4 linked regions of the Macaca mulatta genome follow. The protein of the gene in region 2 interacts with the protein of the main gene of each other region in a biochemical or structural test. Links are inferred from orthologs where the notes say so. Each region holds a gene or a part of one and is shown on either strand. Other genes may lie near its edges.

Region 1 (3,500 bases), on a different chromosome or scaffold from region 2:
TGGGTACTCTGTGTGTGTTGCCGTACAGCAATGCCAGGAGAGTAACACATCCCGACTCCACGGAGAGAGAAGAATGGAAGCTCTGCGTTTGGACCCTCCTGATGTTAACTTATGCTGTTTCCCTGGGATAACCGGCAATCTTGAGCACACCCGCTTTCAGTGAGCTCTGGGAGTCCTAGGCAGTTACCGCATCTTGGGTGGTTTGGGGAACCCCAGTCTTGCAGTTGGTGTCAGAAGTGAGTGCATCTCGTGTGGACAGTGCCCTGTAATTTAGCAGTGCATTTTCAGTAGAATAGACATGTTTCTTGGGGGGTCTCTTACATGCCCATCTCTCTTTTGTCTTGTAGTGTTCCACTGGCAGGCCACCATCATGGGCCCGGTAGGTAGTAGCTGCTGAGCACACCACTCCAGTTTTGCTTCTTGCACTTTGGGCTTAGCACATGCACTGATCTCTTCCTGTGTCTCATCATTCCAGAATGACAGTCCTTACCAAGGAGGTGTTTTCTTCCTGACCATCCACTTTCCTACGGATTACCCGTTCAAGCCCCCAAAGGTGAGGTGCCCCTCACAACTCCCCTGATGTTTGAATGAAGGACAGCATGTGACGAGGGGCCCTTCAAGTCAGGTATAGGTAAAAAGAGCTGTACATGGGGCTTCTCTGAGGGCCCACCGCTCCACCCTGTGGTGACAGCCTCCCAGGACTTTAACCACTGGACTTTGGGAATTAGCACCTGTTGTGACCAAGGGTCAGTGGGGTGAGCTGGTGCTGGCCTCCTTACTGAGGCCACAGTTTGAATGCTTTTCCTTGTGACTGTAGCTGAGTCTGGTCATGTCTCCAGGCTCTGGCTCCCTTCTCTGCAGTCCCTTAGAGTTAGGACAGGGGTTCTCTGCTGGGGTGATTTTGCTATTGCCCCAGGGACATTTGGGCAACATCTTGGGATATTTTGGGTTATCAAAACTGTGGTGAGGGGGTACTGCTGGTATCTAGTGGGCAAAGGCCAGGGTATCCCAGGGATTCCCTACAGTGCCTAGAACAGCCTCCCTTCCCGTGACAGAGAATGATCAGCCCCAAGTGTCAATAGTGCCAAGGTGGACACACCCTGGTTTAGGACTGGTGAGTCACACCTTCACTTTCCTTTATTAAGTTAAAAGAATAGCAAACCTCCTTTGCCCTTTATGCACACACCATCCCATCAGTGGAGTTTTAGAGAGCAGTGCCACCAGAGGGAAGGAGAAGCCCAGGGAGCTGCCTCAACCACCCTGCCCTAGCATGTATTATGCACTGCAGGTCGTCTCATCCCCTGGACCCTTGCACCTCATACTCCTTCTTACCTGGGCTCTGCATGGGTAGCTGAGCCTGCTCTGAGGCTCACAGTCCTGTGGAGGAGGCAGGGCATTTAGCGTGTGAGCCAGTCAGCACTGTCAGCACTGGGGAGGAGCACAAGCAGTGGTTGGCAGCAGGAGCTGGGGTGGTGGGGAGATAGCCCTGAGAAGGGGGAACTGCAGAAGCTCAGCAAGGGGGCAGACGGGTCCCCAGGAAACTGCCCCAGGGGAGTGAGCGTGTGAGGAGTTGGGAAGGAGGCCAGAGAGGTACGGATGGCCCCAGGAGTAGGGTCTGCACGCCATTGTGGGGATTGCCACACCAAAACGATCACTCTGCTGCCTTGTGGAGGAGGCTGGGTTCAAGCGATTCTCCTGCCTCAGCCTCCTGAGTAGCTGGGACTACAGGTACTTGCCATCACACGTGGCTAATTTTTGTATTATTTTTAGTAGAGACAGGGTTTCACAATGTTGGCCAGGCTGGTCTCGAACTCCTGGCCTCTGGTGATCCACTTGCTTCCACCTCCCAAAGTGCTGGGATTCCAAGTGTGAGCCACCACGCCTGGCCAGGTTGTGCATTTTGGCAAGACTTACTCAAAAGTCCTGCATCTGCATCAGACACCTTAGCCGAGGGGTTGTGACATTGCTGTGTCTTACTACCTTGACTTGGCCTTGATGACTCAGTTTGAGTCAGAGGCTTAGCTGCTGTTTTGCGTGTTGTTTATCTGAGTCAGTGTGAAGAAGCCACTTCTGTGCTCGCCAGCTGCAGCTCTGTCCAGACATCACCACCAGAGGCTACGTGGTGCCTGAGCATTTTAAATCCTGGTTAAATATGCTTAGGATCCCAGAGACCTTTTAAACTTTTGGCAAGGGAGTGGGGTGTGCTGCGCAGGGCAATGACAGATGCTAAAATAGCTTTGCCACATTAGAGTACAACTGCTGTTCAAGGGGGTTTGGTTGAAAAATCATAAACATGCTTCACGGTGCTCTGATCCACCCCTTCTCCCTTACCCTCTGGAGAGACTGTGGCAGTGTCTATCAAGTAGTAATTTTCTAGCTTATCTCTTTCATTACTGTGTGAGCAGCTGAGGATTTTCCTTAAACAGATATGGATGTAGTCCTGAATGTCTGTTGGGCATTTTCAGGGTACCTAATTGCCCAAGGACAAAGGAGAAACAGTGATTATTATTATTTCTAAATTATTATTATTATTTTTTGAGACAGTTTTTCTCTTGTCACCCAGGATAGAGTGCAGTAGCATGATCTCGGCTCACTGCAAGCTCCTCCTCTCGGGTTCAAGTGATTCTCCTGCCTCAGCCTCCCAAGTAGCTGGGATTACAGGCACCCGCCACCATGCCTGGCTAATTTTTTGTGTTGTTAGTAGAGATGGGGTTTTGCCATGTTGGGCAGAATGGTCTTGAACTCCTGACCTCAGGTGATCCGTCCGCCTTGGTCTCTCAAAGTGCTGGGATTACAGGTGTGAGCCACTGCGCCCAGCCAACAGTGGTTATTATTAAAAGACTAAGAAGTAAGCTCTGTGGGTGAGTTGGGATTATTTTAGCAAGGAGAGATGTGAGCTAAAAGGTGACAGTGACATTCTATGAGGGAAGAAAGTGCTTCTGTCTTTCAAAAACCTCCTTCTACAGGGAACAGGAGCAACTGGATTTATGTTTTGGCACAAATTTTCTGACAATAGGAGGAATCTGGCAAGATTGCATGGTCTTTATTGGAGATATTGAGGCAGATACTTAATATCTGAGATGATTTTGAAGTTTGACCCTTTCTGGGAAAAATTATATGGTAATAGATATTCGAGCTCACATGCACATAACTCTCTTCTCATATTCCAAAGTAAGTTTAAAAAATATTAAAAACTATATCAAACATGCAAAAAATGGTAGATAATTATATAAAGGATGTTTGTGCATCTCCATCTAGCCTAAGAAGTACCAGTGAGTTCTCAGAGCTAGCGAAGGAGGCAAAATCCTTTTTTTTGTTTTTTTTCGAGATGGCGTCTTGCTCTGTGACGCAGGGTGGTGTGCAGTGGTGCAATCTCAGCTCACTGCAACCTCTGCCTCCCGGATTCAAGCTATTCTCCTGCCTCAGCTTCCCAAGTAGCTGGGATTACAGGCATGTGCCACCACACCTGGCTAATTTTTTTGTATTTTTAGGTAGAGATG
Region 2 (3,500 bases):
AGTAGAGACAGGGTCTCTCCATGTTGGTCAGGCTGGTCTTGAATTCCCGACCTCAGGTGATCCGCCTGCTTCAGCCTCCCAAAGTGCTGGGATTACAAGTGTGAGCCACCTCACCTCGCCCCTCCTTTTTCTTGTTCCCATTCTTTCTGTCAGAGATCTTTCCACCTCGGCCAGAAGCCTTTCCCAGCTTCTGTATCTTACTTGTTTTTTTTGTTTTTTTTGTTTTTGCCTTGACCTTAGTGCTGGTTGGGACAGTGTGTCTGGGGTCCTCAAAACCACTCTCAAGCTCAATTCACCAAGAGAACTCATGGGACTTAGCATATAGTCGTGCTTGTGGCTACAATTTATTACAGCAAAAGGAAACAGACCAAAATCAGCAAAGGGAAAAGGCTGGTGGGGTGAAGTCTGGGGGAGCCAGGTACAAGTTTCTAGGAGTCTTCTCCCTGTGGGAGTTAAACAGGGCAGCCTTTATTTCCCCAGTAGCAACAGTAACTACAGAAATAACAGCAACAAAGTGTAACAAGATGTGAAATGTTGCCAACCAGGGAAGCTTGTTAGACTCAGCACCATCGTGAAATGTTGCCAATCAGGGAAGCTTGTTAGACTCAGCACCATCTCTTTTACTTGGGACTGGTCATGTAGGCGCCCCCTTCCTGGCACATACCAAAATTTCCAGACTCCCAGAAGGAAAGGTGTTCAGCATAAACTGTATTGTTTGCATGAACAGTTTAGGCACAGTGAACCACTGATATCAGGTAGGGAGTGGTGGGATTCTTCCCGAATTCCAAGTTCCCAGACTCCAGCCAAGGGTGGACCTTGGAAGCAGGCCTTTCCAAGGGTTGCAGTTTCAGTCTCCTAGGCTTACACTTCTCTGCCCATATGGAAACTGGGTTGGTTATGCAGGGATCTCTGAGAAGCCTTCTGTAGGGAACAATGTCATTTTTGCTTACCCAGGATTTATTCCCCCTTTCATTCATTTCATTTATTCACCAAATAGTTACTGAGGTACTGTTTTAGGTATTGGGGATATACCAAGGAATAAAACAAGATTTCTGAAAGGGGAGGGGAACGGACAGCAAACAATAGATACAATACGATCGTGAGGTATATAGTTAATGTCGGTGATGAGTGCTCCTCAAAGGAAACAACAAAAACCAGACAAGGGAAGTCAGGGTGTCAGGGAGAATGGTTTGTAGTATTGATGACAGTGGTTAAGGAAGGCCTGAGTTCTGCAGAGACCTCAAGGATATGAGGGACTAGAGCGCCTTCTGCTGCGGAAGAGCCCACGCAAAGATCCTGAGGTGGGAGGGTCAGGGAGCCAACTCATTTTACGGTAAGTGGAGGTGGGATCCAGGGGAGGATTCTGAGCAGAGGAGGGATGTGGCCCACCTTGGGCTTTGAAAGGATCCTGCTTGTCTGTGCGCTAGCATCCTGGTGCTGGTTGGGGGAGTCTACGTCAATCCTGGGTGCTATTACCTGAAAAAATAGTAGGTGTTAGATGAAAGAACAGATGTCTGGCCCATTGTCTCCAGTCTGTTCCTGTCCACAGCTTCCCTTTCCACTGATCCCCTGCCACATGCGTCATCATCCTGGCCATGTGGCATTGTCACAGACCGTCTCTCCTGCTAGCCACCTAACTCAGGGCCTGGGTCTTCCCCAGCATTAAGTAAATCCATCTCAGGCAGGCAACCCTTTATAGATGTTTGGGCCAGGTGTGGTGGCTCACGCCTGTAATCCCAGCTCTTCGTGGGGCCGAGGTCTTTGAGCTCAGGAGTTCAAGACCAGCCTGGGCAGCATGACAAAACCCTGTCTCTACCAAAAATACAAAAATTAGCCACGCATGGTGGTGCACACCTGTGGTCCCAGCTACTTGGGAGGCTGAAGTGGGAGGATGGCTGGAGCCTGGGAAGTTGAGGCTGCAGTGAGCTGTGATCATGCCACTGCACTCCAGCCTGTGTGATGGAGAGAGACCCTGTCTCAAAAAAAAAAAAAAGATGTTTGTTGGGTGAATGAACAGATAAGTGAGCTCTGTTCCCCCGTCCCCACCCTGGAACTGCACTTTCTTAACCCTTTAGAAGTTAAAGTCTGACACGGCCGCTGCAGCTGTGCGCCAGATGAATCCACATATCCGGGTGACAAGCCACCAGAACCGTGTGGGTCCTGACACAGAGCGCATCTATGATGACGATTTTTTCCAAAACCTAGATGGCGTGGCCAATGCCCTGGACAACGTGGATGCCCGTGAGTTTGGAGGCGGGTGAAGTGGTCAAGGGCAAAGTTGTGTGTGTTTCGGTGTGTATATACCAAGAGGGGTGTCTGTCTTCCTGTCCTCTCCTAATGTTCCTTTCCCGGCTGTCGCTTTGTCCTCCCCGCAGGCATGTACATGGACCGCCGCTGCGTCTACTACCGGAAGCCACTGCTGGAGTCAGGCACACTGGGCACCAAAGGCAACGTGCAGGTGGTGATCCCCTTCCTGACAGAGTCGTACAGTTCCAGCCAGGACCCACCTGAGAAGTCCATCCCCATCTGTACCCTGAAGAACTTCCCTAATGCCATCGAGCACACCCTGCAGGTGATAAGCTGTGGGAGAAGGGGAAGAGGCCGGGCATCTGGCCAGGCCGCTGCCTCTCTGCCCCCAGGCCCTTGCCTTGCCTTCAGATGTTGCATGCCTAAGTGTAAGATGTACCTTTTCTCCAAACCTCCCTCCCTCTCTTCCCACCAGGCAGCCTAGGTTTCTAGAATGACTCATTCTTTTTTCACTTTTACTTTGAATTTTTTTCAACACATAGAGAAATATTAAGAATATTATGATGAATACTCAAATACCATTCCTCACCTAAATTTAGCAATTCTTAATGTTTTGCCACATTTTCTTCTTAGATGTATATAGATTTTTCTTCTTTGTGCTTAAATGTGTCACGGACATAACAGCCTTTACTCCCCTACTATTTCAGTGCCTCTGCCAAGTGAGGATATGTTGCTATAGAACAGGGTTTCTTAGCTTCAGCACTACTGACATTTGGGGCTGGTTACTTCTTTGTTATGGGAGAGGGGATGCCCTGTGCACTGTAGGATGTTTCTCAGCATTCCTGACTTCTTATGTCAATAGCACTCCCCCTCCATCATGACATCTAAAATGTCTCCAGACATTGCCAGATGTCCCCAGGGGTGCCACATCACTCCCAATTGAGAACTACTTCTATCTAACAGAAACATCACTTTCATGCTCAACAAAATTAACAATCATTCTTACCATCTCTTCCAGTTATTTATTTGTCTCTAATAGTCCATATTCGGGTTTTCCCCAGCTGTTACTTAAAATGAGTTTAACAGCTGGTTTGTCAGGATGATTCTGTGTGTATGGTGCATGTACCTACAGAACAGTGCACATATTATCTAGCTCAGGGGTGTCCAATCATTTGGCTTCCCTGGGCCATATTGGAAGAATTATCTTGGGTCACACATAAAATATACTAACACTAACGATAGCTGATAAGCTG
Region 3 (3,255 bases), on a different chromosome or scaffold from region 2:
AAATGCTTTCATAATGATTTTTAAATAAGTACCTTCCAGTTTGTTTCCTGCTAATGCAACTTAGTCTATATTAGTACAGACAGAGTTACCAATTCTTTTTAAATTCTGTAATGAAAGACACACAGAAACAGCACTGCTGGGTCATGCCATGTGTATACTTAGGTACTGCCAAAATGCCCCCTACGGCAGTGTACCAGTTTATCCCTGACAGAACCCATTTCCCATGTACTTGCTACTACAGCATCTGCAAGTCAGAAAACGCTTTAAAAAAAAATGCAGTAGGGTTCGTCTTTGAAGCCTAAATGGGGTAGATTATTTAACCTTGTCTAGGATACCTCAACATCTACAGCTGTGTAAAGTACAGATCCTAATATGGGTAAATAATACCTACTAAATATGCATTATTTTTAGCTTGTTTTAGAAGCAGATACCTATCGATTTCAGAAGAATCTGCAAACAGCAACCAAAAGGCAAAATAAAAGTAAATGAACACAGCAGTATTAGGCGGTTTTTAATATTGTTTATTAGCACAGTAACAAATGCAGACTTAAGTAGTCCACAACATATAACCAATCCACTGAGCAACTCCTATTCCACGCCTTACAGTTAACAGCTTAAGGTATTTCACTACAGGTTTTCACAAGTCCTGATTTAAACCTTTTTTAAACAAAGTAGATTGGCATATAAAATAAAACACATTACTCATCTCCTATATGGTGTCTTACAGCCACGTGTCCATTTTATATATATGAGATGACAGTCTCTAAAAACTCTGTTAAATATCAATGTTCCCTTCCAAGAAGGGAAAACAAATTCCAATTTTGTTTTAAACAAAAAGTATGTAGTCTTAGAGGGACTTTACATAAATGGCCATATGTGTAACCTGTACAAAATTAAGCTGTTTTAAATTTACAGACTACAAGCAACTGAACCCAAATGTCTAAATGTACATTCTTTTCTGTACTACATTTCAGCTAATATTGCAGAACTAATGACAATTTTAAAAGTTGCTATTACCAATTCTGTCTACTGTAGCAAGATACCTTAAGTTACAACAAAATCTTAGGAAATAAGACTGAATAATATCTGTTATAGAAATACCCTACTCTTTACCAACTCCCACCCTCCCTGACCCCTTCAGAATCATAAGCAGCTCTCTTCTGTGACAAATAATGTAAGAATTGTGAAAACCCAGTTTATGTAGCGTATCTCTTGGTCCACTGTCTGGCCATTCTGTCATGTTCTGCTCTGTTGGTCATATACTGAGTGGCAATACTTCCCACCAAGGGGTCGGCTGGAAGAAAAGAATGTAGATTACTTTGGAGAAAGGAAAAGAACATTTTAAACTTTAGCAAATACATTAGTGACAGCTTGGGCAGACATGTACAACCAAGTATGTGTGATCAAACCCATCTTCGAAACACCACTCCACTATGCCGGATATTTTTCCATCAAAAATTTAAAAATCGTAACATGGGAGGAAGAGGGAATGCTCAGGCTTTAGTTTACTGGTCTGTCTGTATCTTAGTTCATTCCATTTTTCTCCCAATAAACAACACCCGATTGGAGTTTCTTTACTCTTATGTGTTAGGCTGAGTTCAGTGGAGACTGGAACGGTCAAGGCTCCAGACTACAATGAACATCCAACTGTGTTGATGTGACCCTTAGCTCAGTGTCACCAGTTATGGCATTGTGAATACTGTGAAGTCTTCGGGGCTGTTGCAATGCAACACTATTTACCTTTACACTGGTTAAAGAGCCAGGTTGCCAGGCAAAACCTGGACCTCCAATTAAGTATAGTATTTCTCTGAATCTTAGGATCTTTAATAACTAAATTTATATTTGGTTTACCTAGAAAATAAAATAAATAATATATGTGTGTATAGACACACATATATATATTTATATATATATACACACATTTTTTTTTTTTTTTTTTTGAGACAGGGTCTCACTTTGCCACCCAGGCTGGAGTTCTGTGCAGCGGCATGCTCATGGCTCACTGCAGCCTTGACCTTCTGGGTTCAAACAATCCTGCCACCTCAGCCACCCTAGTAGCTGGGACTACAGAAAAATATTTTTTAAATGAAATGAAGTCCCAAAAAAGTCACAATTCAATAGTCACTAAGTATTTAACAAATACCATTTTCAAAACTGAGTGCCATCTCAGTGACCAGCTATGGGCACATGCCCACTGAACCCCACAGGCAAGGTGAGGCTTGCCAGGCAGATGACTTGGCATTTAGAAGTGTATGATTTGTTTTATAAGAACTATATGGGAAATTAAGCAACAGGAAAAAAAAATAGAGGGAAGAATAACTGAAACTGTAAAAGCCCAAGGCAAACTTCGTCTTCAGTTTAAAATACCTTGTTGCTAGAATATACTGATTAATGAAGTTGTATGTCTCAACTAGTAGACTGAACTTCTCGATTAAAACTTTCTTTGAAAAGCAGATTAGTTTTTATATTCATAAAGTTTTGCAGAAAAATTAGTTTTGTCCTTTGAAAGCTTTTGGAAACAAGTACTTTTCAGGTGAGGAAGAATAAAACAAGGTAAAGAATTATTAACCTTACCAGGATTACAGTCTGTAAGAAGTGAGCAGATAGAAAGGAGGACTTTAGAAATGGTTAGTGCTGGACTCCAATTATCTTTCAATATGTCCAAGCAAATAACACCTTGACTGTTAATATTACAATGATAGATTCTTGTCCGAAATGTAACCTAAGGAAAACAAGGAAGTGTCAAACAATAGTTAAAAAGCAAACAAACTTTTTACTAAATACTCAACTGAATGACCCTAATTAGAAAGAAAGAAAAAAAAACTCCCAGATAGGTAGTTTTTAAAAAGGTGAATAAAAGCAGTTTTAATTAAAGCTGTCAAGAAGATAGACTTGTTTAATAAATTTGATTAGAAAGTGTTCACTGACCATCTCAGGGACTGTGTCAATTTCATTTAAAATGTTATGTCCCCTGATGGTAAGTTCAGTACTTCCTAATTTTATCTTTAGCAATTTTAAATCTTTTAAATATTAACATTTCCAAGTCTGAATAGGTAATTGTTTGCTGACCTCTTGTGCTAGCTGGTAGTACTACACTGCCTCAAAGTAAGCTTTAAAATACTTAAAAGCTTTAAAATATTTAAAATCGTAAGTCTCTCTTAAAAACTGAAGTGCAACATAATAGGTACCTAAAGATAATTAAACAACATACTTAGCAAACAATGACTACACCCAAAAAGCTGAACAAAATTTGAA
Region 4 (3,500 bases), on a different chromosome or scaffold from region 2:
TGAGGGAAGGGCAGCGTTTGAAATAAACTTAGAGACATGATTCATTTTTCTAGAACTTGCTCAGACCCAGGGATATGTTCTGCTGTGATTTTGGCAGTGAAGAAGTCCTTTAAAGGAGGCTGTCCTTAAAGAAGTACTTCATCTTGTTAGGGTACTTAATTAATTGTCTTTGCTGGTAGGCTAAAACCCATGATGGTAAAGAAATTTAGTCATTGCTTCTGTATGAAGTTTGTTCATGAAAGCATGTCTCAGAGTAGGCTCTCCCTCATTGGGTCAATATAAAACTTTTGAGATACCAACGACAGGACAGTGGGGTAAAAGTAGTAGAAGTGTGTTAGGTAGACAAGGAAAAGCTGTCCTGAAATTGAAAATTTGCCGTAAAAAATCACAGAGTAGAAAATTCAGCCGGGTGTGGTGGCTCACACCTGTAATCCCCGCACTTTGGGAGGCCGAGGCGCGTGGATCACCTGAGGTCAGGAGTTTGAGACCAGCCTGGCCTGGCGAAACCCTGTCTCTACTAAAAATACAAAAATTAGCCAGGCATGGTGGCGCGTGCCTCTAGTCCCAGCTACTCGGGAGGCTGAGGCATGAGAATTGCTTGAATCTGGGAGGCAGAGGTTGCAGTGAGCCAAGATCACGCCACTGCACTCCAGCCTGGGTGACAGAGGGAGACTTTGTCTCAAAAAAAGAAAGAAAAGAAAATTCTTAGGTGTTCCTAGTTGACTGTATTAGCTTTATCAGCCTTGTTTTTTTTTCCCCTCTCTACCTAGAAAACAATGTTGGGCTGACTCACTGACTAAATAAATTTAATGAGAGTTGACACTGTTGTAAAGCTTCAGAGAGGGGTAGGTCTAGAGTTTCTGGGGAAGCAAAGCTGAAAAGAGAGAAGACTTAAGAGCAGCCCCCAGTGAAGCTACCATTAGGCATTACTCACTTGGGCTTTCCTCAGGTACCGCAGGGAAAGGGAAGTGGGCAATCAACTTGAACAAGCCAGTCCTGGCTTAGGTTGTGTTTGGCTTCCAGCTCCAGTGCCATCTCTTCAATTAATTGAGCTAAAAATAAATGTCATTAACATCCAAGCTGCCCACTCCCCCAATACTTGGTTGGGTTTATGAAAGAGAGGAGCAATTTTGGTATTCGATGTTTTCCATATATTATTTTCACACCTTCCACTGTCTGGAAGCACTCTCTTCCTGTCCTTAGGTAGAGTTATGTAGTCTTAAGAGAATTTGACAGTCCTTGGGGGTTTGATACAAAACTGGATCCCCAATAGCCCCACCACATGGCCTCTAACCAGATGACTTCAGTCACCTGTTTGCCTCTATGTTCAACTTCTCTCTCCCCTCACTAACTCCATCACCACCCATAAACGAGCTCTTTGAGATCCACAGAGATTAACATTTAGACAACTTTTGGAGCTGATTGCTTACCTAATTTCTTTTGTTTTGATTGTCATAACTGTTTCTAGTACAAAGAAAATCCCTTCAAAGTTACTAGCTTGCTTTTACCTATTCTTTTGCCCCCCTTGATATGAGGATTAGGCAATTGACTGATTTCTGCTGAAATCAGAACATGAGCATGAGACAGAGGCTGGGAAATTCCAGAGTATTAATAGTGAAAGAGAAACTTATGGTGAGTCACTTATGGTGGTATTGCCAGGCCCCAGGGTACTTGTTCCCTGTTCTTTCTCTGCCTCACCCTCCCTTCCTTCTGATGTGTTTACAGTACATGGACTGGACCTGCCTGGAGCCCAGCCCAGAGCATCTCCTCCGTGCTCATCTCTATCCAGTCCCTGATGACTGAGAACCCCTATCACAATGAGCCTGGCTTTGAACAGGTAAGGCCAGGTGAGCCTGGCTCTGGGGAGTAGACTAGTGTTTTTGGTTGGTTGGTTGGTTATGTTTTTTTTGTTTTGTTTTTTGTTTGTTTGTTTTTTCTGAGACAGAGTCTTGCTCTGTCACCTAGGCTGGAGTGCAGTGGTGCAATCTCGGCTCACTGCAAGCTCCACCTCCCGGGTTCAAGCCATTCTGTCTCAGCCTCCCAAATAGCTGGGAGTACAGGCGTGCACCACCACGCCTGGCTAGTTTTTGTATTTTTAGTAGAGACGGGGTTTTACCATATTGGCCAGGCTGGCCTCAAACTCCTACCCTGGTGATCTGCCTGCCTCGGCCTCCCAAAGTGCTGGGATTATAGATGTGAGCCACCATGCCCGGCCAGAATAGTGTTTTAAGAGATCTGCTTGGGAGGTTTTTTTGTTTTGTTTTGGACCTAGCACAACCCCATGTACTACAGTTGTTGCTACAGGAAAAAAAAGGGAATTGACATGTGTTTTTTAGTAATGAAATTTTTTGCCAGCTATGGTGGCTCACGCCTGTAATCCTAGCACTTTGGGAGGCTGAGGCAGGCAGATGGATCACCTGAGGTCAGCAGTTTGAGACCAGCCTGGCCAACCTGGTAAAACCTCATCTCTACTAAAAATTAACTGGTCAGAAGTTTGAGACCAGCCTGGCCAACATGGTGAAAACCTGTTTCTACTAAAAATACAATAAATTAGCTGGGCGTGGTCACTTGAACCCTGGAGGCAGAGGTTGCAGTGAGCTGAGATCACGCCATTGCACTCTAGCCTGGGCGACAAGCAAAACTCCGTCCTCCCTGCCCCCCAAAAATAATAATAATGAAATTTTTTATTTGTGAGAGTTACAATAAATATGTGGCTTGGATTCCTTTACAACATGGAAGTCAATGGACTCAATTGGAAATTAATTCTGAGCCTGCTTTGGGGGTTGTGGCATCTAGTGGGTTCTATGTGCCTGTATCCTCAGCATCCCCTGAAGTTGCTCTATAGGGACTACTGTTCAGCCAGCTGTTCTTCTGGAGTTATGAAGGACTGTTGCCTGCAGAGCCAAAGGTGTCATTAGGAGTCCTGGGAAAGACTTTTTGAGTTAACAGTGCCAATGAGAAGGTGGAGAAAACTCACATTTTTCCAAGAGCATGCTCTGTGCTGGACACTCCTGAGTTTTTTTTATGTAATTTCTTGTTTAACCTTCATACTATGTGAGGTTAAATATTGTTATTCCCATTTTCAAGTGAAATAATGTTGCCTCAGAGAGGTTAATTAACTTTCACAAGGACACAGTTCAAGATAGGACCCCAGACTTATATTGGAGCCCAAGTTCTCCCACTATTCTGATGTGCCTTCCTGAATTATGAGCACGGGAAAAAGTTCCAGTGATAGTCCCAAAAGAAAATGATTCCAGATAGGTGATTAGAACAGCTTAATTGATTGATGTATTTATTTTTTGAGACAGAGTTTTATTCTTGTTACCCAGGCTGGAGTGTAATGGTGCATTCTCGGCTCATAGCAACCTCTGCCTCCCAGGTTCAAGTGATTCTTCTGCCTCAGCCACCCGAGTAGCTGAGATTACAGGCACGCACCACCATGCCTGACTAATTTTTTGTATTTGTAGTAGAGAAGGGTTTTCACCATGTTGGCCAGGCTG

What was found. The genes of interacting proteins can lie anywhere in the genome.
Region 1: of the proteins of UBA1 (region 2) and UBE2D4, one has a biochemical effect on the other in vitro, tested with the Homo sapiens proteins (4 studies listed by BioGRID). The link is inferred for Macaca mulatta from reciprocal best matches to the Homo sapiens genes UBA1 and UBE2D4.
Region 3: of the proteins of UBA1 (region 2) and UBE2E1, one has a biochemical effect on the other in vitro, tested with the Homo sapiens proteins (9 studies listed by BioGRID, with this or other methods). The link is inferred for Macaca mulatta from reciprocal best matches to the Homo sapiens genes UBA1 and UBE2E1.
Region 4: of the proteins of UBA1 (region 2) and UBE2Z, one has a biochemical effect on the other in vitro, tested with the Homo sapiens proteins (3 studies listed by BioGRID). The link is inferred for Macaca mulatta from reciprocal best matches to the Homo sapiens genes UBA1 and UBE2Z.

Annotation. Positions count from the first base shown.
Region 1 is NC_133408.1:84,416,822-84,420,321, reverse strand, and holds part of UBE2D4 (ubiquitin-conjugating enzyme E2 D4), read left to right. Parts: intron 1-28; exon of another isoform or gene 29-158; coding exon of another isoform or gene 159-159; intron 160-347; coding exon 348-379; intron 380-475; coding exon 476-553; intron 554-3,500. UniProt on the Homo sapiens protein: Accepts ubiquitin from the E1 complex and catalyzes its covalent attachment to other proteins. In vitro able to promote polyubiquitination using all 7 ubiquitin Lys residues, but may prefer 'Lys-11' and 'Lys-48'-linked polyubiquitination.
Region 2 is NC_133426.1:47,235,565-47,239,064, forward strand, and holds part of UBA1 (ubiquitin-like modifier-activating enzyme 1), read left to right. Parts: intron 1-2,075; coding exon 2,076-2,241; intron 2,242-2,375; coding exon 2,376-2,572; intron 2,573-3,500. UniProt on the Homo sapiens protein: Catalyzes the first step in ubiquitin conjugation to mark cellular proteins for degradation through the ubiquitin-proteasome system.
Region 3 is NC_133407.1:24,593,380-24,596,634, forward strand, and holds the end of UBE2E1 (ubiquitin-conjugating enzyme E2 E1), read right to left. Parts: intron 2,723-3,255; coding exon 2,575-2,722; coding exon of another isoform or gene 2,456-2,574; exon of another isoform or gene 1,928-2,455; intron 1,295-1,927; coding exon 1,197-1,294; 3' UTR 501-1,196; downstream 1-500. UniProt on the Homo sapiens protein: Accepts ubiquitin from the E1 complex and catalyzes its covalent attachment to other proteins. Catalyzes the covalent attachment of ISG15 to other proteins. Mediates the selective degradation of short-lived and abnormal proteins.
Region 4 is NC_133421.1:61,089,798-61,093,297, reverse strand, and holds part of UBE2Z (ubiquitin-conjugating enzyme E2 Z), read left to right. Parts: intron 1-1,725; coding exon 1,726-1,837; intron 1,838-3,500. UniProt on the Homo sapiens protein: Catalyzes the covalent attachment of ubiquitin to other proteins. Specific substrate for UBA6, not charged with ubiquitin by UBE1. May be involved in apoptosis regulation.